Tribolium castaneum: one gene and its partner. The protein of the gene in region 2 binds, or shares a complex with, the protein of the main gene of each other region. Links are inferred from orthologs where the notes say so. Each region holds a gene or a part of one and is shown on either strand. Other genes may lie near its edges. The genes, in order: Polr2F and TfIIEbeta.

What was found.
Region 1: TfIIEbeta (region 2) and Polr2F share a complex: the UniProt entries of both Homo sapiens proteins name them as parts of the TBP-based Pol II pre-initiation complex. The link is inferred for Tribolium castaneum from reciprocal best matches to the Homo sapiens genes GTF2E2 and POLR2F.

What each region holds. Positions count from the first base shown.
Region 1 is NC_087398.1:1,174,024-1,184,250, reverse strand, and holds Polr2F (DNA-directed RNA polymerases I, II, and III subunit RPABC2), read right to left. Parts: upstream 954-10,227; coding exon 558-953; 3' UTR 512-557; downstream 1-511. Other genes in the region: probable ATP-dependent RNA helicase DDX23, read left to right, coding at 1-186, 282-499; Kua (plasmanylethanolamine desaturase 1), read right to left, coding at 2,377-2,637, 2,806-3,024, 3,068-3,279, 7,681-7,918. UniProt on the Homo sapiens protein: DNA-dependent RNA polymerase catalyzes the transcription of DNA into RNA using the four ribonucleoside triphosphates as substrates.
Region 2 is NC_087396.1:10,267,069-10,279,011, forward strand, and holds TfIIEbeta (general transcription factor IIE subunit 2), read right to left. Parts: upstream 7,396-11,943; 5' UTR 7,281-7,395; coding exon 7,219-7,280; intron 7,164-7,218; coding exon 7,062-7,163; intron 7,008-7,061; coding exon 6,845-7,007; intron 6,794-6,844; coding exon 6,593-6,793; intron 2,806-6,592; coding exon 2,458-2,805; 3' UTR 2,429-2,457; downstream 1-2,428. Other genes in the region: carboxylesterase 1E, read right to left, coding at 1,754-1,818, 1,874-2,027, 2,081-2,320. UniProt on the Homo sapiens protein: Recruits TFIIH to the initiation complex and stimulates the RNA polymerase II C-terminal domain kinase and DNA-dependent ATPase activities of TFIIH. Both TFIIH and TFIIE are required for promoter clearance by RNA polymerase.

The DNA of each region.
Region 1 (10,227 bases), on a different chromosome or scaffold from region 2:
AGAAGTTGGGCTACAATGCGTGTACGCTCCATGGGGGTAAGGGGCAGGAGCAGAGAGAGTACGCACTGGCTAGTCTCAAGTCGGGGGCTAAGGACATTTTGGTGGCCACTGACGTGGCTGGGAGAGGGATTGATATTAAGGATGTTTCCGTTGTTATTAATTACGACATGGCCAAGACTATTGAAGGTAAGATAAGTTTGTCCCAGATTTTTTTTCTTTATGACTAGTGCAAACTGAAGAAAAAAGGAAATCTAATCTGTAATTTGTTTATTTTTTTTCAGATTACACCCATCGTATTGGCCGAACCGGCCGTGCCGGGAAGAGCGGGGTGGCTATCAGTTTTTGCACCAACGACGACTCGGCCCTATTTTACGATTTGAAGCAAATGTTGCTATCGTCACCTGTCTCAACGTGCCCCCCTGAACTAATGAACCACCCTGAATGCCAGATTCGGCCCAATCAGCCGAAACGCCGCCGCGACGAAATGATTTTCGCTTAATTAAAATAAAACTCGATGTTTACTTAGCCTTTATTCTTAAAAACAAAATCTTATTACACTAGTGGTCAATTATTATGAGTTCGTCTATGCCCCAATCCTCGTACGAGTGGTCGGGTAAATAACGCCGGATTATGATGGGGATTTTCCGTTGTTTGAGTTCTTTCATTGCGATTTGAAGCGGGTCTGTCTCTCCGTCTAGTTCCACCATAACTGGGGCACACATGGCGATTTGCAAAGCTCTTGTTCCCAAAACACGAGCTCTTTCGTATTTGGTCATGTATTTGGTTGTTATGCGTTTGTTTTTGGGCACTCCGCCCCCGGCTTGGCCATGAGCGAGGATGTCGATGTTGTCGCCTTCCTCCTCGGGCTGCTCCAGCTCCTCGATGTTGTCGTCATCGACGTCGTCGTCGAAGTCGTCCCCCACGTCATCACCGTCGAATTCTTCGTCATTCATTCTCGATTTCTAGCTAATTGACTAATTTAAAGGCATACACAAACATAGCACAACGTTCAGATGTCAAATGCGTCAAACGTCAAAAGTATTGGTTATTGGAGAGTTGCACGAAAGTGCATCAGTCCGAAACTTGTTATCGGTTCAAACAATACTTTTACTTTAGTGTATTGTTGGTTGCGTCGCAGTTGCGATAAAAACTTTTTTTGATGAAATTTTGATTGTTACGATTTTTTTAAGTTTAGTTAACAATTTGGTGCGAAAAAAATAAAACACATTAAATTCAAGCAACTTTATTGTATAAAATAATTGCATTTGTTCCAGACTTTATAAAATACCGTCTTGTCTATTATAGTGGCGGTCAGCTCGATTTGCGTGTGCGTCAATTTCATTTTTTCATTACCAACACAAAGCTATAAAAATTGTCAAAAACAATGCAAATTTAAACAGCTAAGGGCTATCTAAGGGTGGTATCCTTGAACATTAATTGACATTGACAGTAAATTATAGACGTCGTCGCATCGTTGTCGAAAGTGTGTGTTATCGGTGTTAATCGTAAGTATTTTCTGTTCGTTTATTGTGTTTTGTGATTTGCGTTTCGTTAGGTTTTTGATTCTGCGTTTATTAGTTCTTGTTTTGTGAATCTGTATTTTTTGTAACAACTTCGTAACCTCAAAAAATATTTGATAGTTTGTCACCGCTATGCCCCTGCTGTGTAAACGTAGTGAGAGAAATGTCAGATGACGCACACGCAAATGGAGCTGAGCGCACCATTGCAGTTTTGTCTAGAAATGGTAAAAATAACTGCGATTTATTGCGATGTTTAAATCACAGTGTTTGTCTAGTTAACAAACCATTTTTTGTGGTAGTTTCTAGCGTACGACTGCTTATTGATTAATTGAATAAAACGCAGACGGAGCTCGTCATAAAGCTCAAATAATTAAATAATTGCAAACAAGTTGAGAATTAAAAACCTTAGCCTAGTCATAAGTCGTACAAATTACCCTACTGGGTGTTAAGCGTGTTTGTAATGATAATGATTCATAAAGTACCTAAATCAGGCACTCTAACTACTTTGGTAGTGCGTGTAGATTATCCCTGGAGTGTTTAAGACTAGCTTCAATAAATCTAAAATTGATCAAATCATTAGGCTAAATTGTAAGAACTATTAAACATTTAAAAAATTGGCCCAAGGCCCATCGCTTGGTCCCCAATGGTTAACATGATTTTGTAACAATAAAAGTACATTACATTCGTTGTCCAATCTTAAAATCAGGCACTTGATTATGTATTTATTGAATCGAACAAAACGTGGTGTTCTCTATCACCAATAAATCGCTAAATCAACTAAATGAACTTTTGGCAATTATTCCACAGACACGTAGAACTAACAAAACAAACCCCATTCATAACAAAGACAAAAATATCACGTGCCCTTTTGCGCCCACTTCATATCATCAGCCCGCGGTTTGTAGCCCGTGGTGTGTTCAATCAGCAGCTCTAGGATGCTCCAAAAGCGCAGCTTCTCCAACGGCCAATTGAGCCACCCGGTGGTGATGCAAAAGTAGGTCTCATGCGGGGCCACATGGTGGATGCGGTGGTGGCGCCTCGGCAGAATCACATGGTGCTCCTGCAGCCACACCACCCACGCCGGCAGCCCGAAGTAGGTGTGCGACCACTTGTGTATCTGGAAAGTGGCTCCAATCAGCAAATGAACTCAGATTTATCGGGCGCGTTACCCCAGGTGTGCGTGTTTGCCACGGGCCCTATCATTTTATAAAGTATTATATCGCGAGCTGATCTAAAAGCGCACACACGACCCGAGGAATTAATTCGAATCAATAATTAACTCTACCTGATTGGTCATTGCCACGAAAATCGCCAACAGAAACACGTAGCAATTCCACGTGAACTTCCTCTCGACCCCGTCCGCAGGCAGCGTCAGAAAATCCCAAACCATCCTCGCCAGAAACGGAATGGTCACCATGAAGTTATCACCGTTGGTTTCGATAAAGTCGTGGCGGGTGATGGACGTCGGATCGATGTGGTGTTCGCGGAACGGCCGCAAAAAATTCTACACAAAATTTAAAATATCAAACATTTCGCTCTCCACTCACTTTGCCCAAGATGGGGAGCTCCACCGAGCCCCACGTGTCGGCCGCCCAGTGCACGAGTCCCGAGCCGAAATCCGCCGTCACAATGCCGCAAAACGCCGCCACCAAAATCGTGCTCAAGTTGTCCATACGGACGTGGAATATTATGAAGAAGAAGTTGACCACCATAAGGGTCAAGCAGATTCCCACGCAGATGCATTCCTGAGTCCGCTTCCCTGCAAAAAGGGAGCGGTGTGACTCGGCTAATTACACTTGGGCCCAGTATTAGTGTAAACTAGGAGGAATATTAAAAATAATCGAGTTTAATGGGTCATCGGAATAATATGAAATGTCATCAATGCATAATAAACGAACTTGTGCTAAGTAATATCGACGACAAGATCGATTCTTCCTAAATAAGCACCTATCAGAATAAAACACACTGTCGATTAGACAAACACATCAATAAAACACGAATTAAAGTGGCATTTTTTACGTTTTAACGCTCACTATAGCGTGAAACTACAATGATTCATTTTCGCGAGATATTATGTCATCGAGAGGTGGTTTCCTTTTTTGTACCTTGACGTAATTTCGTAACGGATTTATTACCACTCGAGTGATAATTTAATTTTGCCAAAAACTTACGAATGATAACACGTTTCTGTTCTAAATCCGAATATTTAAACACATTTCTTGAACATGTTACGACTTATTTTATGTAAATTTAGTTAAAGGTGAAGTAGCTTCGTACGTACAGATTGACACGTATCTGCATGATGCTTTGTGTCGTTGCAAATCTTTTATTGTATTGTAATTACACGTAACCGCAAGCTAAGTTAAGCAAAAAGGTTAATCTAAAGCAAACGTTAGTGATGATAACAAGGCCTCACTTTTCAGCATTAATTCCTCTATGGAGACATAATTTAAATTTTCTCATACAACATGTATGAATGTAAAAAACACGACAACTAACTGTACATAACTATATATAACTATTTTTCGTAAAACTGAAATAATTTAATACAACTGCCAACTTCAGCAAAACCTATTACGGTAATCCACAAGGGAAATCTTATTTAATTATAGATTAGCTGGACACAACCGTCAGCAAAAAACAAGTTTTGTGGTAGAAAATTTCAGAATTTATTCTTTTTTAATCATTTCTTACAAAATTTTGGTTTTTGAAAAAAATTAACACCTGTATTTGTGCAGTGACTAATTTTGTGCTACAGATGTTGCTATTTACGGAAAAAACGGAAAGTTAATTACTTAAAATACGATTATTTTTACACACTTGGCATTTTTCATGGTGATTATAGTCGACTGAAATTATCTAGCAGATTAATCACCCTCTAATGACGTATTAAAACACGCCTTTATTTTGCAAACCTTGGTAGTAAAATTTTATTGTACCACTTGAACATAGAATTGAAAAAACCACCACTTGTTTTAGTTCTAATTCTATTTAAGGAAACAATCCCAAATGATTGTTATCAAGGAATGAGTTTCAGTTCAATTATTTTTCCAAATGCGTTGCGATTAAAGGTAATTTGTTAAATTATAGCGATTCTTTTATTTTATTTTGTTAGGATTCTTTAATGAGAAAAATTCTCCACGAACTTGTTACGTTAATAGGGACTAAAGCCAGGTATTAGGGATAATAATACAACCCGGAAGCGCATCAAAAATAGCCAAATTTTTAAATCGGGGAATAAATCATTTTATTGACAATAATCACGTTTTAGTAATTTTGATGTGGGCTGTTGTTTAAGAAAACGTCAGTGTAATAATTTTGATGACCTGTCGAAAGAATGCTAACATCTGCCAAATATTAGCGAATAAAATGTCACTTAACAATTCCAGAAATAGTTCGTTTTTGCGCAATTTTACGTGCTCTAAATAAATAAACATCACATCACTGCAGTGACAAATTGTGTAAAAACTTTTAAGTTTTTTTCACCGATCGATCCTTTGCAAACGCCATTCTCACTCAATATTAGTTCAATTCCAACGTTATTTGTCTCACAACCAGCACATGTGCAATAACATTCTTTCATTAAAGCGTTAATAGATCTAGGACATGAAAGAATTTGAACTATTTTTTAATCTAAAACAAGCAAAATATCGCCATACCAACCGTATCTAAAACACGTAATTATACCTTAATTACGCCAAATTCTCATTAAAAAACAAAAGACAGACGAAAGATAAACCTAGACAAGCACGTGTATTTAAATAAATTTTTCTCACGCTGTAGATAATTATGCAAGAATAATATGATTGCCTTTTTTACGAAACATCATTGATAAAAGTAGGGACAATAAAGATAAACTCATTGTCCATATTGGCAAAAATTAATATCGGATTTAATTATTTGCAAGACATTTAATTAAAAATTCGTTTAAATAAAAAACAAGTCTGGTGTTAAGCATTTGTTGCACTAAACTTTTCCAAATCAATAGATTGGTTAATGTAGTATTGAAGCGGAACTACTTTCACCAAAAATCATAATAGACGCTCTTTTGCACACCGCTTAAAAATAAAATGAGCCAGTGAAACGAAAAACATGTTTTTCTCCGCAAAACTTGGACACAATCTTAGTGTGTAGTTTGGAAAAGTCAACATTTAGTAATTACTGCATCAATAACACACGAGATAACGCGTCTTAGATAATATTCCGGAATCAAGGTGATGCTAAATATGAAAAATCCGTTACAAACTGTTGTATTAAATCAGTAAATATTGGCTCGTATGACGTGTAAGCACATGACATGTGATTAAAATTTATCCTCTCTATTTTCATTGTGAACTGCTTCGTGTCGGTTTTCGCTTTCCTTCAACACTTATTGTTTCCAGTGCGATGCAGAAAAAGTGGACGTCACTTAATATAATTTAAATTTTTCTCTGATGATGATATTTGAATATGTTATTAGTGCCGCCTCTTCGAAATCTATAAAAAGTCGACTGAACTAAATTTAGAAAGCCTCGAGCTTTACGCTTAATTATTGTTCGAGACACAATACTGTTCTCGTGTTTGTATTTGAGTAAAATGTGGGTCAGGTCAGCGAAAAGGTTGAAGATCAATCAGACGAAAGCACAATCAGATAAGAGGCAACTGGACTGGACGTGGCGTAGGTGTGGTGGCTCAACAAAAGCGACGGTTCTTCGTGATTAGGCCAAGTGCAAGGAAAGGTCGTTAAACCGCATTTAAATTCAGGTGCGGGACAACAAACATAATTTGCCATAAAGATGCCAGAGGTAAAACTACGGATTACTATAGCTTAGGACACGAAACGACGTACTAATAGAACGTCCCTGTTTTCGATAGTTTAATTTAATTCTCCACAACTTTTTTCTCAACATTTTTCTTGTATCTTTGACCGTAATCGCAGCGTTTGGCCATTTTGTAGAGGGGGGTGTTAATTTTTTTAATTTTTTTTATTTTCTCAATTACGACTAAACTGTTTGAAAAAGTGGAACTGTTTTAATTCACACCTATGCAAAATGATCCGGGGAATCGATTGGCATCGAAAAAATTGCCAAATTCCCAATAGTTTTTTAGTTATGAATTTTTTAAAATTTTACCAATTTTTGCATTTATCTGCAATTTGCTCAAAAACTATTAGTCGGAGAACAATATTTTTTTTTGAAAAAAATAGATAATTCAAAGAGCTTTCCAACGATAATAAACTTCATGGGGTTATCTCTGATAGTTCCGGAGCTATTGCTCAACAAATGTTCCGGGTACCCAAAATCGACAAAAATTGCGACGAAAATTGAAAAAATCAAACATCAAAAAATCGAACATATGGACTTTTTTTGGACTTTTAACAACTCTAGAGAGTTGTAAAGGCATATATAAATACGAAAAAGTATGATAAAACGAATTTAAAAAAAAAATTTTTTTTTTCATTTTCTTGCAGGCATGTGTATTACACAGGAAATTTTAGCAAAAAAAAATAAAAATTTTAAATCTCATGAAAAGCTCGTATAATACAGAAAATGAGCCGCTGAATTCAATGGAACAAACCGCATTGCTCTACGACTTTTAGTTTTTGAGTTATGAATTTAAAACTATTTGGCGTCCTCATTTTACTCTGCTGTGTGTCAATTTTTTGGAAAGTACAGAATATTGTTTCTCTTAATCTAGTCCTCCGTATGATAGATTCGCTGAAATTCGCTTTGACCGTTGTTTTTTCTAACATTGTTGAGAAAATATCAATCAAAATAAAAGTACTGTTATCGCATTTTCTAAATTATTAGAAATCAACAACGACTTCGTTCAGATTTGTTATCAGATATTTCCCCACAAATCTCTAGTGAGTGAAATGATTGTTATAATACGATAGGTAAAGCGACATTTTTAGAATGACAATCATTTTACATTATTTCAAATTTTTGAATCTAGGAGGTTTAAACGTCAAATTGAGGAAACAAACACACCACCAAAAATAATTGGACAGGTGTCATTCTCATTTTAATAAATCATCACGAGTGAAACCCCCATGTGTACGCCACTGCATTTTGGTCTCCATTGAGACGTCGTGGCCTACAGTTAAATATAGTCGGGGGCCGCGTTGTCGCCAAACCTTATGTCATCACCGTGGAATTTCATTGATTCGCGCGTCGCGTACCCTTGCTGTAGAGATTGGCCAGCTCCTGAGCCCCCTTGTGCTGGGGTCCCCACCGGGGGCGCGTCTTCTCCTCCTGGGTGACGGCGCAGTTGGCGTTGGGGTCGTCCTCCAGCATCGAGTTCTCCAAAATTTGGCGCTCGGTCTTGACGGGCGCCAGGATCTTGGTGGCCATGATGTCCAGGTGCTGTTCGGAGAGCACCTCCTTCACGCGCTTCGAGCAGCTGAGCGGCAACGCCATCCCCGTAGCTACGAACCCTCGGAGGTGTCACAACCAGACGCGATCACAGACTGGTCGTTCACTGGCATGGTGTTCGTCGCTAGGCACCGGCGACACCACACGAACGCGACGCTCGATCACAACTGAACCGACCCACCGCTCGAGGGCGGAGCACTAGGTCGAAGGCATGCGTCACCGGGACGTGGTGGTGGACGCTCACACCGGCGCCAAAGTGTCTTCCGAAAACGTTTAACGGCTATCTTCAATGAGTGGTCGAAGTGGAACGGGCGGAATTTAGGCAAGAAAACTGAGGTTTCTAACAGATTTTTTGTTATGAATTTTTTAAAATTTCACCAATTTTTGCATTTATCTGCAATTTGCTCAAAAACTATTAGTCGGAGAACAATATTTTTTTTTTGAAGAAAATAGATAATTCAAAGAGCTTTCCAACGATAATAAACTTCATGGGGTTATCTCTGATAGTTCCGGAGCTATTGCTCGAGAAATGTTCCGGGTACCCAAAACCGACAAAAACTGCGACGAAAATTGAACATATGGACTTTTTGTGGACTTTTAACAACTTTTGTGGGTTGTTAAGACATATGGAAATCCATAAATATTGAATAGACTGTATGTAATTCACCCTCTTTCTCCTTTTTTTTCCCACTTTTTTTTTTGTTACCGATTTAGAGCAATTTTTTAGGTTCGCATTACATTTTAAACATGTAACCGCGCCATTTTTTTAATTTAGTTACCGGATTAGCGTTATTTTTAGGTTAGAAATTGTTTTTTAAACACGTGCCCGCGCCATTTTTTTTATTTATTTACCGAACAAGTGCACGTGTCCGCGCCATTTTTAAATTTTATTACCGATTTAGTGCGATTTTTTAGGTTGGCATTACTTTTTAAACACGTGTCCGCGCCAGTTTTTTTAATTTAGTTACCGGATTAGCGTGATTTTTAGGTTAGAAATTGTTTTTTAAACACGTGTCCGCGCCATTTGCTTTATTTATTTACCGATCAAGTGCACGTGTCCGCGCCATTTTTAAATTTTGTTACCGATTAAGTGCCCGCGCCATTTTAAATTTTGTTACCGATTTAGTGCGATTTTTTAGGTTGGCATTACTTTTTAAACACGTGTCCGCGCCATTTTTTTAAATTTAGTTACCGGATTAGCGTGATTTTTAGGTTAGAAATTGTTTTTTTAAACACGTGTCCGCGCCATTTGTTTTATTTATTTTCCGATGAAGTGCACGTGTCCGCGCCATTTTTAAATTTTGTTACCGATTAAGTGCCCGCGCCATTTTAAATTTTGTTACCGATTTAGTGCGATTTTTTAGGTTGGCATTACTTTTTAAACACGGGTCCGCGCCATTTTTTTAATTTAGTTACCGGATTAGCGTGATTTTTAGGTTTGAAATTGTTTTTTAAACACGTGTCCGCACCATTTTTAAATTTTTTAACCAATTTTGTGCAATTTTTTAGGTTGGCATTACTTTTTAAACACGTAACCGCGCCATTTTTTTATTTATTTACCGATTAAGTGCACGTGTCCGCGCCATTTTTAAAATTTTGTTACCGATTTAGTGCGATTTTTTAGGTTGGCATTTTAATTATGTTTTAGCTTTAAACTTGTCCAAAATTGCTTAAAAGGTGACAAATATATTTATCTACAAATCGACAAATTAATTTTCACACAACTGGTAAGTTTTATCTAAATACACAATAACCGACCCTCGTATATAATTTCAAACCACCCTCGTATACAAAGATTTAGTGTTGGCGCACTTGATTTCCACTAAATACGTCACTAAAGTCACCAGATTATTGATTTTCTTGAACTACAAATACGGGGGCAGTTTTAAAAATGTTTGAAATCTTAACTTTGTGGTGTACAAGTGGCTTGCAGGACAATTTTTCTAGTCTCAACACTCAGTGTGTCCACGTGTTAGAGGGCTGTTTGAAAAATAAATAATTTTCGATTTTTAAAATGGATTAAAATTAATGGCGGGGACAATAATTTTTGGGGCGCCCTCATATAAAATGTTTTAAAGTTGGCAGACTTTGTTTCCACTAAAACGTCACAAACGTCACATACGTCCCGATTATCGATTTTCCAATACGGGGGCGTTCTAAAAGTTATTAAAATTCTGGCTTTGGGCTGAATAAGTGGTTTACAGGACATTTTTATATTCTCAACACCTTTGTTACACGCAGTGTGTGCACGCTGTTTGAAAAAAATGTAATTTTCTATTTTTAAAGTGGCTTAAATTTAGTGGCGGGCGCTGAAATTTTTGAGGCGCCCTCGTATACGGTGCAAATTTGTCCGA
Region 2 (11,943 bases):
GTACTAAAGCAATTTTTTGCACATTGACTAAAAATTGCTTAAAAATCGTTGAGTTTTTTCGAACATAGAAAAGCTTTTTTTGGCGATTTTTTTTTGAACAGAACGAAAAGGCACTAAATTAGTGAAAAATTACACGTATTACTTCTCCTTATTTTCAAGCGTTTTAGCATGATTATGTTGTTCAGCGAGAAATAATCAGAAACACAATTATTTTGCCAAATTGAATAAAAAAAATTCCGAAAAATCGAGAATTATGTAGCGAATGGTTTTATTTTTACTTTCTTGGATTTAGTTAAAATGAAACGAAAAGTTACTAAGCTATGAGTTGAAAATTTCAATATTGTTGCTTTTTTAAACGTTGTTTAACTAGAAACGCGACTATTTTGAAGAACTTTGTTTCAAAATAAGCTTAGAAGGCAATAGCTTCGTGTACAACAAAACAAAAATACTGATTTTTTTCATTTTAGACGTGAGGCAAAACCGAGACAAAATAACGTCATGAATAATGTGTGGAAAAGTGCAACTTTTCTTATTTTTTTTTAAATATGATTGATAAAATTGTAAAAACATTAGCTATTAATTGTTTGAAGTGCATAAATAATTATAACAGCTAATTTTGACAGAAAATGCGACGTTGGCGTTTTTATAATTTTGAGACAGCTAATATATCCATATTACTTCAACCAATATCACAAGATTTTGTTAAAATAAACTAAAAATCGAGCCAAAAATCGTGAAATTAGATCTGAAATATGTCATTTAAAATATTGGGGTAAACTAAAATGTAATTAAAAATTATAAAACTTTGTTAAAATATTAAACTTGATTGACAAATAAACGTAAAAGCTAAATTTGTTTCTGTTTGTTCCGAATAGCTCATCAAACTCACCAGTCATCAATTTATTTACAAAAATTCTAATATCTAATTGTAAATTCATATCTAAAGACCAGCGCATGTTCCCTTACGTGTTCAATGTTTTAATTTGTTAGATAATTTTTTTTTGATCACATGGTATTATTTATTTTTGCACTTATTTCTTTAACTACTTATGTTAATTGAACCAATTCTGAGTGATTTAACACATTTTTAAGCCAAAAACTTTCTAGGTTCAAAAAATTTAGTGAAAAAATTTAAAAAATCGCCATATGAAATACATTATTTGTCAAATAACTTAGTCAAGTGATCTAACTAGTGAATAAACTAATATTTGATTGGTTTTAATTATCTATCCCGTTTCTGCATTTGAAATATTTTACAAAAAGAAACATCCTCCAGACTAAGAAATTCTAGAAACAAGATTTGGGGATAGAAAGACTCGTGCCTGCTCAAGTAGTATAGGGACTGTACAGTAGACCAGTACCTACCCTGCGCCATCTCTTAGGTATTTGTAAAAAGTAATAACTTTCTCAATGTTGTTTTAAAAAAAACTGATAAGTAATGGTGAAATTAATAAATAAATGTTAAATTAATTAATTAATTATAATACAGGGTGTAAGCGAAGTAAGTAAATTAATTTTAACCAGTGGTAGAACTCATCAAGACAAAAACTTTTTCTATGTACCATTTCTATAAAATCGAATTTTTTAAAATCATTTTCCCTCCTATAAATTGACGAGCGTTTTATTAAGAAAAATTGTTAGTCTTGACAAGTTATATTACCAGTGAAAATTAATGTACTTATTTTATTTACAGCCTGTATATTTTAAATAGATTGTATAAAAGAAAGCAAAGATATTATTAAAAAAAACTTACACCGTACTGAGAAGCAGATCCATAGCGAAAACCTCCACCATGAATCCACACAATAACAGGGAGCCCTAAATTAAAAATCAAAGACCGTTCAAATATTTTCAGCACTGAATGAACTACTACCTTCCATTCCTGTGGGAAGACTCGGGGTAAAAACATTAAGAAATAAACAATCCTCTTTCCCTGTGACCTTATCTTCGCCAGGAACTGGCTGAACACACGGCGGCGGAAACTGCGTGGCATTTTCTAACCCTTGCAAAAAATACTGTCGCGGTCTCTAAAATTAATTTTTTCAAGTATAAAATGATTAAATGAAAATAATTTAACTACAAGAAATCTCTCTTTGCCCGTGGGGGCAAGCCCGTATCTAATGCCCCGAAAAACATAATGCGGAAAGTCCCTAATACCCAAAACTCTCGCCGTTTTTCCGCCAAATCGCGTAAACACTACAGGCTCGTCTTCAGGGGGCGGCACAGCCGGTTCCCCGCCAACAATTCTCCGAACTCTGCCACTTCGTTCATCACAATAAATTAACTTAACGGCAATTAATAACAACAGGGACAAATTCATGTCTGGGCAAAAACTTGAACGCGAATAAAAATTAGATAATCTGAAGCGACAGGAAGACAATAATTATCAAAAAACCCACGATTTTTATAATCAATTAAAACTACGAAATATTTAACATATAAATTTATTTGACTAAATTATACAGAATTCTTCTGAGTAAGTGTGTTATCTGAGTAGGTTTCAAGAACATCGGCCAAATGTTCATTATCTCGTGGTTTCTTGAACGTTTTCTTGCGCTGGCTCGTTTTGTGCCTCTTTGGAGCGATTGGCTTCTTAGGCCCATGATCCTGCATTGATCTAATTCCCTGTTTCTCTAAATATTCGTCTATTTTTGCATCGTCCATAGCGTCCACGGCCACAGAACGCCAAAGTTTTTGAAACTCTTCATCAATAGGCAAAGTGGCGGTCCTATCGTTGTAAAAGAGAACTTTTTTCTTGTCTATTGGTCGAGTTATAAAAATGATCTCGTTTTGGTTTTGGAGAATCTGGAATGAGGTCAAGAATTAAGTTGGTGTGTGCCGTTTGAACATGACATGTTGCCAACTTAAGGCACTGGCACCATAAAAAACAGCTTTAATTAAAAAACAAAACCACTTGTAAAAGGTGACATATGTTTTTATCGATTTGAAACAGATATCATCTTGCAGGAGATTTTAAAAACATTCCACAGGTATAAAACTTCGGAGGAGTAAAGACTAGGAGTAGAAACCAGATCGAGATACAAATTCACACTATTTTCTGTACCCAAAAAATCTAGCACGCTAGAGTAAAAATGAAGACGCTTCGAGCGTTAGATTGTCTTGGCGTCAATCGTTTTAAATTAATTTAAATTCAACAAATTCTCTAATTATTTGAGAAAAAAATATATTTAAAATTTAAAATATAGGTTTCGTCCCAATTTTTCAAAACGTTGCGAATTTGCTAAAAGATATAACAAAAATATTAGGAAGAAAGTTCTAGAGAATTAAATATGACTTATCCACAATCACATTATAATTGGAGTTTTATCCACACTTATGATTCTTATGGTTAAAGGGGAACATGTTTTAGTATGTTTCTAAGCCGCAAAATAACGCGGAATTTTTTTCTATTATTTTTTTAGCCATTTATTTTTTTCGAAAACTAGAAAAAGTTTTGAACCTAAAATCTTCATTAAATTTGAGGCAACGTAACACTTTTTAATTTTTTGAATTAGTTTTGAAAAATCATTAAGATTTTTATATTAAACAATATTTAAAAAACCGAAGGTAGGGCGACGAATCTCCATTTTTCGCTGATCACAAATGTATTTTTGTTTTTAAAATTCGTTAACGGAAAAGGTATCAAAACGTGAATTTTGTAAATCCTTTTGTTCCGTCATGGTGGGGTCGTGAAGAAGGCATTCCTTGGACGCAGCTGTGTATATATTAGTCACCAGCAAAATATTTTCATCCATATAGAAAAAACTTTAAGTAACTAACAAAAAAAATGTAGGTTTGCTATTTAGCAAATTTAGTTTGCTATTTTGGGAAAAGCGGTCTACCCATATTATTAAGCTTTACAAATAAGTCCTACATACAATTTTGTATATTTGATGAAAATTAGGGATCCAAAAGACTGATTTAACCCCGATATCTATAAATCATCTAGTAATGATTGGTTTTGTCTCTTTTATAATTTTTTTTACATAACTAGAATTGCTACTTTTTTCTGTATCTCAAAAACTAATAATCTTACGTAGAAATATGCGTTTGCAAAAAATGCTTTATTATTTTCTTCATGTATATGAGTTTTTTTGGATTTTTTTTTACAATTCCATAACAATAAAATTATTATTACTAATGAATTAAAAATATTAATAGTATTATTAAAATTTAAAATATGAAATGGAAACATAAATTAACCAAACTGTCATTCTAAAACAAACGATGCCCAAATGATGATTTCCATTTAAATTACGCATTTAAAAACAAACGCTAAATTCTGGTTGATTATTATGAGTAATTTCTATTTGTTTTGCCGACTTGTTCGATCCCTTTCATCTTTTTCCTAGAATGTTTCGCTTAGAGTTTCGACATATTCCGAGAAAGTCTGAGGTATTTCAAAGAATTTAATAGCACAAAAATTCGAATTCAATGTTACATGATATTATTTGCTTCTTGCTGAGCTTTCTCAATCTATCATCAGAAATCTTCATGACAAAATAATTTTTTTACCAAAAATAAATTAAAATTTGACCTATTGTTTCCAAAGTGAAAAAAAAGATTTTGTTGATGCTTCACTAAATTCAGTTCATAGAATTAACACCATAATTGTTTGTATGAATAATACTAGGATACAGAAATATCGTGTTTTACATCTTCTAGTCTTTAGTTGCTTTTGCCCTCTCTTTCTCTTGTCCCGCACTTGACTGTGGGAGATTCTCGGCGGCAAATTTTGTCAAAATGAATATTCGCGATTCGTTCAAAACTACAACAAAATTTTTCGTTTTTTGGACGCATTCTGTTCGTACCATCACTGTGCATCTTTCCCGTACACATTTTTAAAAATATTATGAATATTTGTTTAAACTTTTAATAAAAAAATATCAAATAATTTTTTTTCAAAGTCTTACGTTGTCTCAAATTATAATTATTTAAAAGAGTCAATTCCATTTTTCGATTTAAAATTGGATTACAAATATCGCCAAAAGTAGAAAAATAAATTTCATTACTACTTGTCTTTGCCACACACTTGGTTTAACTCTGTCGTCCCCTTTAGCCTTATAGTGACCTATTATCCACTAGTGGAATAAACTAGGAATTATGACTACCAGACAAAGCCTGCCAAGATTAATTTTACGATTGTGGATAAAACATTGTATTGCATTCATGTTTTAGTCGCATTTTATCCACTTGAGAATATTAAACATTCTTGCGTGGATAAAATGCTTTCGAAAACACTTATACAATAAATAGCTATTAAAAAATCTGCGAAACCAAGGGCCGTATGAATACAATTGAGTAAATGCTTTTACTTCAAATTTTGCAAGTAAATGTTCTAAATTGTATGAGTAAAAATGTAAGTATAAGTTTTTACTAAAAGTAAAAGCACACTGGGCGAGTATTTGCTTGAACGTCGAGGTTTTACTCAAAACAAAATGAATAAAACAAAGTAAATGCTTTTTTCGTTGAGGATTTAGTTCAAAATTGTTGACGCTAATCAGTAGGAGCATCAATTTTTAAAAGTAACACCTCAAACTCGAAACAATGGTGGGTGTTGTGCAACTATGGGTAAGAAAAACTTATAAACAACCTCGCGAACACATAGGATAAGATTTTAAGACTTTATATCGGTTTGAACGAAAAAATCTTCGTGCTTTGGCTAGGTATTTTTTGAGTGAGAACAACGAAATGGGAGGAGATGGAAATCCATTTTAAAAATTACAACATTGAAAACTTCACTACAATGATTTATTTTGAGAGCAGATTCTCCAAAAAACTAAAGAAGTAAAAGCAAGAGCAAATGCTTTTCCTTTATACTCATACTTTAAGTAAATACTTCAACTTTATTCATACGACCCCATATCTACATCTTCAACTATTTAGGCCCCAAAAATGTTTAAAAATGCTCACACAGCGGTTTCGTTTCATTTTATGGTCAAGTATTGGAAAATTAATTTATACCTAAACCAATGAAGATGTGGCGGACTTTTTTGTAGGAAATTTAATTCTCTACATCTATGCTTCTTACACATCTTTAGTTGAATTCGCAGCGTTTTCATATATATAAATATGCGATTTTTTGACACTGTTTTCAATAAAGTGTTTCCACTATCTTAATCTCTGACTCTTTCTGTATTAAGTTTTTAATTTAAATTAAAAGTGCAAAAAAATATAAACATTTATTATCAATTTGCAATCCGCGTTATAATTTTTAAAACATAGCGAATACGTTTAAAGGTATAAAGAAGTGTGAAGAACAAAGTTGTAAAGAAAAATAGTCGCGGACTTTTTTGTAGAAAATTGATTTTTCTACTACTTTGTTCCTAACATTTTTCTTGTATCTTTAACCAAATTAACAGCGTTTTAAAAATATGGGTCACACTGCAAATTAATATGTTTGAAATTTTTGCATTATTTTTAGTTGTTACTCTTGAAAATTTAATGCTCTATGTGCCTGTATTTTTTTGAATTGTGTTAATAGTTATTTAAATAGTCAACTGGGCTTTTTGGCGACATTACCGAAAATATTGAAGTCGGAGACGTTTTATTTGTACGTCGTTCGTTTAGAAAATAACTAAAAGAATGATACCTTCAAAGCCTTTTCGCAGTGTGGTAACGACTCTTGCACGTCGTCTAACAACACACCGCCTAACCCTTTCAAATCTTGTTGTTTCAATAGTTTCAGTAAGCTTTTCCTGTCTTTAAGTTTATATGGAGCTTTGAATAAAAATTTTCCGTCAGGAGTGACCTCAATTTTAGGATTATCGACTAACGCTTCGGTTTGCAGCCACTTAAATCAACACCATTACATTTAAGTATTGTAATAATGACACAAAATTACTTGCTTGACTTTATTCCCTACGTCTAATTGATTAGTTTCGTCTAAAATTTCCTCTAATGTGAGTGGATATGTTTCACCTTCTTGGTGTCTCTTCCTCATATGTTTCACGATTTTAGCGAGAACACCGAATCGATATTGCGAACTTCCTGTTGCTGTTTTGTATCTAAAAAAAAATCACAAAGTAATTGATTCAAATTTGCAATGTTTTGCTGCTTACGTGTTGATATCAAGTTTAGGGGTGCTACTACTAGAAGACTTAAACCTTTTGCTATCATCGCGAGTTGGTTCTGGTCTTGAATCAGTCTTTTTTCTTTCTACACTGAAAGTAGAACAAAATTAACTGAATAAGTTGACAAAATGCGAATGCTACTTACGTAGGAGTTGTAAGTGCACGTTTTTTGAATAATTCTCTTTCTTTTAGTAAGGCGGGGTCCATTTTATTGGAGAAATAATAAATAAATAATACGAACTATGTTGTTTGAGGAATAATCATCTGTTTTCTTTTGCATTTGACATTCACGGCTGTCAAAGTGACAAGTGGTGGGGGACCGATGCCTTGCGCTGTCTGTCTTTTGTGGCCGACTGTTCCTTGAACCGAATTTTATATATTTTTTTGCAATATTATTATTTAATTAATTACTAATTATAGAAATATGTAGTAATAATCGTTGTTAATTAACTCTAGTTTTTAATCGGATGTGATGCCAACTACTAGCTTGCTGTGTGGAGGTTTTTTGGTTTTTGTTTTACAATGCAAGCTGTCTCAAAATTTGCGAATTTCGAGTTCAGAGCATTGTAAAGATAGTAAAGAATCGCTTCAGTAGTCCAAATGTAGAAACCAAATGAAGATTCGGGGCTTCCCCATTACTTTGGTTTGAAGATCACTTTCTCTTTGCACTGCGTTTTCTTCAAATACGGACTAAAAGTTTAAGTGTTTATTCTTATTTATGGTGAAGATGATTGTTGAGAATAATAATGTAAAACGATTGTCGATTTCTTAAAAAATAGCTTTATTTTGGTGTAAAAAAATTAAGTTTTTGTAATTTGTTGTTACATTTTTAAGAAAAATTAAACAAGTTGAATGAATAAAATATTTTTTCTAAAAAAATTACACAATTTTTTAATTAGTTTTAAATTATTATTTTCTACAATCATCTAAGAACACCATAAATAACAATAAACACTAAAATTTTTAGCCCGCGTTTGAAGAAAACGCAATTCAAAGTAAATCTTCATTTTGTGTCTTCTCATACATTTAAGCTACGGAACTCTACAACGCTCTGAACTCGGAATAATTCGCCAATTTTGAGACAATTTTGTCCCAGCTAAGACTACCTGGGGCAGTGCGTAATTTGGGGGTGGCAATTGCCATCCAAAATTGTTCAGCTCAACATTATTTGTAATATGGAAGAATGAAAAAACAAAATTATCCAAGAAAGAGCCGACATTTTTGTTGAAGGGCTATGAAAAGTATGTTCCCTCTACTTTTTGACCTTTATATGTTTATTTTTTGCGATTCCAATAAACACAACATCTTGTGAGAGGTCTTTTTCTCGCTTGCGGCGGTTGAAAACGAACACTAGGAAGATTGGCCAAGAAAGGTTGTCTTCATTATCTCTTTTGGCTATCGAAAGAAGTGTTAATGTTGACATTTTCAAGGTAATTGATATCTTTGATACGAACCTTCACTTCACTTTGCTTAAAAAATAACTTATAATAATAACTAAAATTTGAATAAACCTTTGTTTTTTTTTATGTTTGTTTCATTTACATGAAAAAGATCACGAATTAAAAATTGGTCTACAGTAGGCCCATTTAAGAGTATCTCTTAAGTTGCGTCTAACTACCTAACATTACACATTACCTAATTAACAGTGAATCTTTAAAAAACAAAAAGATTCATAGGTACATAGCTACAGGTATTTCAGCAGTTTTAATTTCCGTTAATTTTTCTGCGATACGCGAAGAAGGTACATTTTTATATTTCATTTAGTATTTTCTTCAAATTTCAAAAGATATTTTTTTAAAACAACTCGTTAAATGTTGAGTTAAATTATGAACGTCTTTTGAGCCAATTTCTTAATCTTCTAGGTTGCTTTTTAATCCAGAAATTTTCATTTCCATTTTTGAATTTTACCGATACAATAAGCAAAAAATAGTTGCCGAGATAGGCCAGAACGATGTATTTCATTTAGGTTTTTTATTTACTTGTCTGTTTATTAAATATTTAGCGTTTTACCTCCTGAGTCAGATATTATATTCTTTGTTGGAAAAAAAACACAAAAAATCGCGCCGAATTTAGTCTAAATATACAGATAAAATTCAGATAGAATAAAAAGCCTGACGATCTGGCGATGCAACCCAAAAAACAGATTTCATTTCCGTCTTGATCTAATTTTAATTACAGATTGCATTTGCAATCCAAGTTATCTAATGTTGCTCTGTCAGTGCTTGACAAGCTTTGACATCGGTCGGTGCTGGACATTATTGTCACATTGTACCATGCGTTGCTCTTGCTGCAATGAATTTGTTTACCCAACGTTTCCCGAATAGACAAAATCCTAGTGGCATGATTTTTAAACGTCCTGAGAGGAAACTTGAAATTGGCTTCTTTGTAAAAGAAGAAAACACAGAGCTAGGTCTTTGGAAAATAAAGTTCGTGTAATAGCTTACAAATACAGAACCAACAGGCATCAGCCAGACTTCAGTTTGTTGTGTTCTATGTGAAAATAAATTTCGTTCCTATCATGTGCAGGTAGTATACAAGAACTTAGGAAAACTGAATTTGAACACAAATTAGAGTTTTGTCTCTTTATCAGAACACAAATGCAAGTTGGTAACAACTTTATTCAGAAAATTTAATTCAGTTATGAAGCCCAATTTTCTGCCATTGCTATGCTCAGAAAAATCCACTGTGGATAAGTGAAACACATTTCCAATGGTTTTGGTGAACGTTTAGTATGGCATCTCGCATCTTCGTAAAATACATAATCGAGCCTTTCTTCTTCCAAGAAAAACAAGCAGGAGACAAACGTTTTGAACACATTTTTCGCTAAAAGTAATTTTTTTGTCTCTTGTTTGTTGTTGTAATTTATGATTTCGAAAAAACTGTTTACCTATACCTTTAATAATGTTTCATTCTCTCATTCATTTTTTATTGGAGTTTACACCGAAAAGGCTTTTCTACTTTTTCTTTCATTCCGCGAGAACTGAATGACACTAATGATCGTTCTCTGCGCTAATGTCAGAGTGACATAAGATGATAGATAACTTGCGATTCAACTTGCAAATCGTAATTGAAATCGGATCAAAGCCGTAAATGAAATTTGTTTTTTGGGTTGCATCGGCAGATCTTCAGGCTCTTTATATCTGAATCAGCCTGTACGTTGTAACAATTTTATGCATTTTTAAACGACATTATGTGAGTGGTTTTTTATTATTTTATTTTGTCTAATTGAAGGATCTAGTTCTAAAGTGTACAATGACTACAATGTCTAAGTTTTTCAGGAAACGAGAAACATTCCTCGTCTTTTAAAAAACTTACTCTCGGAGGCTTCAGGGTACCGAAGCGATTGTTGAGAATTGGTGTACTACAAGTTGCATACTTTTTTTAGACCTGTTTTCAGTGACGGCTGTCAATCATCGGATAGGCATCCGACCTTCGCCTCGGGGTGTCTTGTCCCTTCTCATAAAATGCAAATAATGTAAACAAACTGAATTCCACTATCGCCCACGATAGTTTCTCTTATTTCAGAGATTCAAGCAACATACAGTGAAAAATACGTTTTTTATTTTGTTAAAAAAATTTGATACTAAAGAATAATAAAATACTAGCATAGTTTTGTTCCTTGTTTGAGTTGTTCATGCAGGCATTAAAACGAGTTGCAAATTTATCTTCAAGTCTATTGTATGATGTCGATAATAATTCTGTTGAGTCATTTAATGCAGTAGTTAACAAACTTGTTGGGGGTAAAAGAATAAATTTTTCAGAACGCGGTTCTTATCATGGAAGATGCTTTGCGGCAGTCGTAAATGTAAATAACAAAAACAAATTTGTATTTAAAATTATGGAGAAAATATCAGGGAATAGTGGCATTTACACCACAAAATTTTCAAATCGCTTATTAAAAACCAAAGAACTTCATGCTACAAAATTAAATAAAAGAAAAATTCGTATTCAAAGTGCAGATTCGGATTATGGTGCGACTAATGACATAATAGACATGCCAACAGAAACATATGACAAAATAAAAAATGAGTTCTTGAATGATTTGGCTGCTTGCGATATTTTAAAAATTCCTTTGTTAACAATTGGTCAACGTAATAATGAGCAGTGGGATAAAGAAAGAAATAATAGATTAACGGCTAGTAATTTCGGAAGAATTATTAATATGAAATGTACGACCAATACAGCGAATGCTGTAAAAGATATCTTGTATCGTGTGGGATTATCTAAATTTAAAAAATTACCCGAACCACTACAGTGGGGAATTGATAATGAAGAGAAAGCAAAGGAGAAGTTTGAACAGATCGTAGGTATAAAGGTAGATTCATGCGGCTTTTTTGTTGATAAAGAAAAAATTTTTTTAGGTGCAACACCAGATGGGTTAGTGGGTTCAAATGCTATTGTTGAAATTAAATGTCCATTTAGCGCAAGAAACACAAATATTAAAACTGCCATAGAACAAAAATTGATTAAATACTTAGAAATAGATTCTCAAGATGATAGTAAAATAGTTTTAAAAGAAAAAGATAATTACATGTATCAAGTACAAGGTCAGCTCCACATTACTAATCGCCAAACTTGTTATTTTATAGTGTACACCTCTACAGATTTAAAATATTGTATTATTGAGAAAGACGATAGTAAATATTGGAACGGAAGAATGCTAGATTGTCTTGAAAATTTTTATATGAATGCCATGTCACCAGAAATAATTGATTCAAGACATAGTCGCAATTTACCATTACGCAGCATAATAAAAAAGGATTTGTAAATAATATTTCAAGTTTAGTTTTAGAGATTTTTACATAAATACATAATATGATGATAAGCATTTTAATAATAATTATAATTTTTAATTTGAACAATAAAAGTA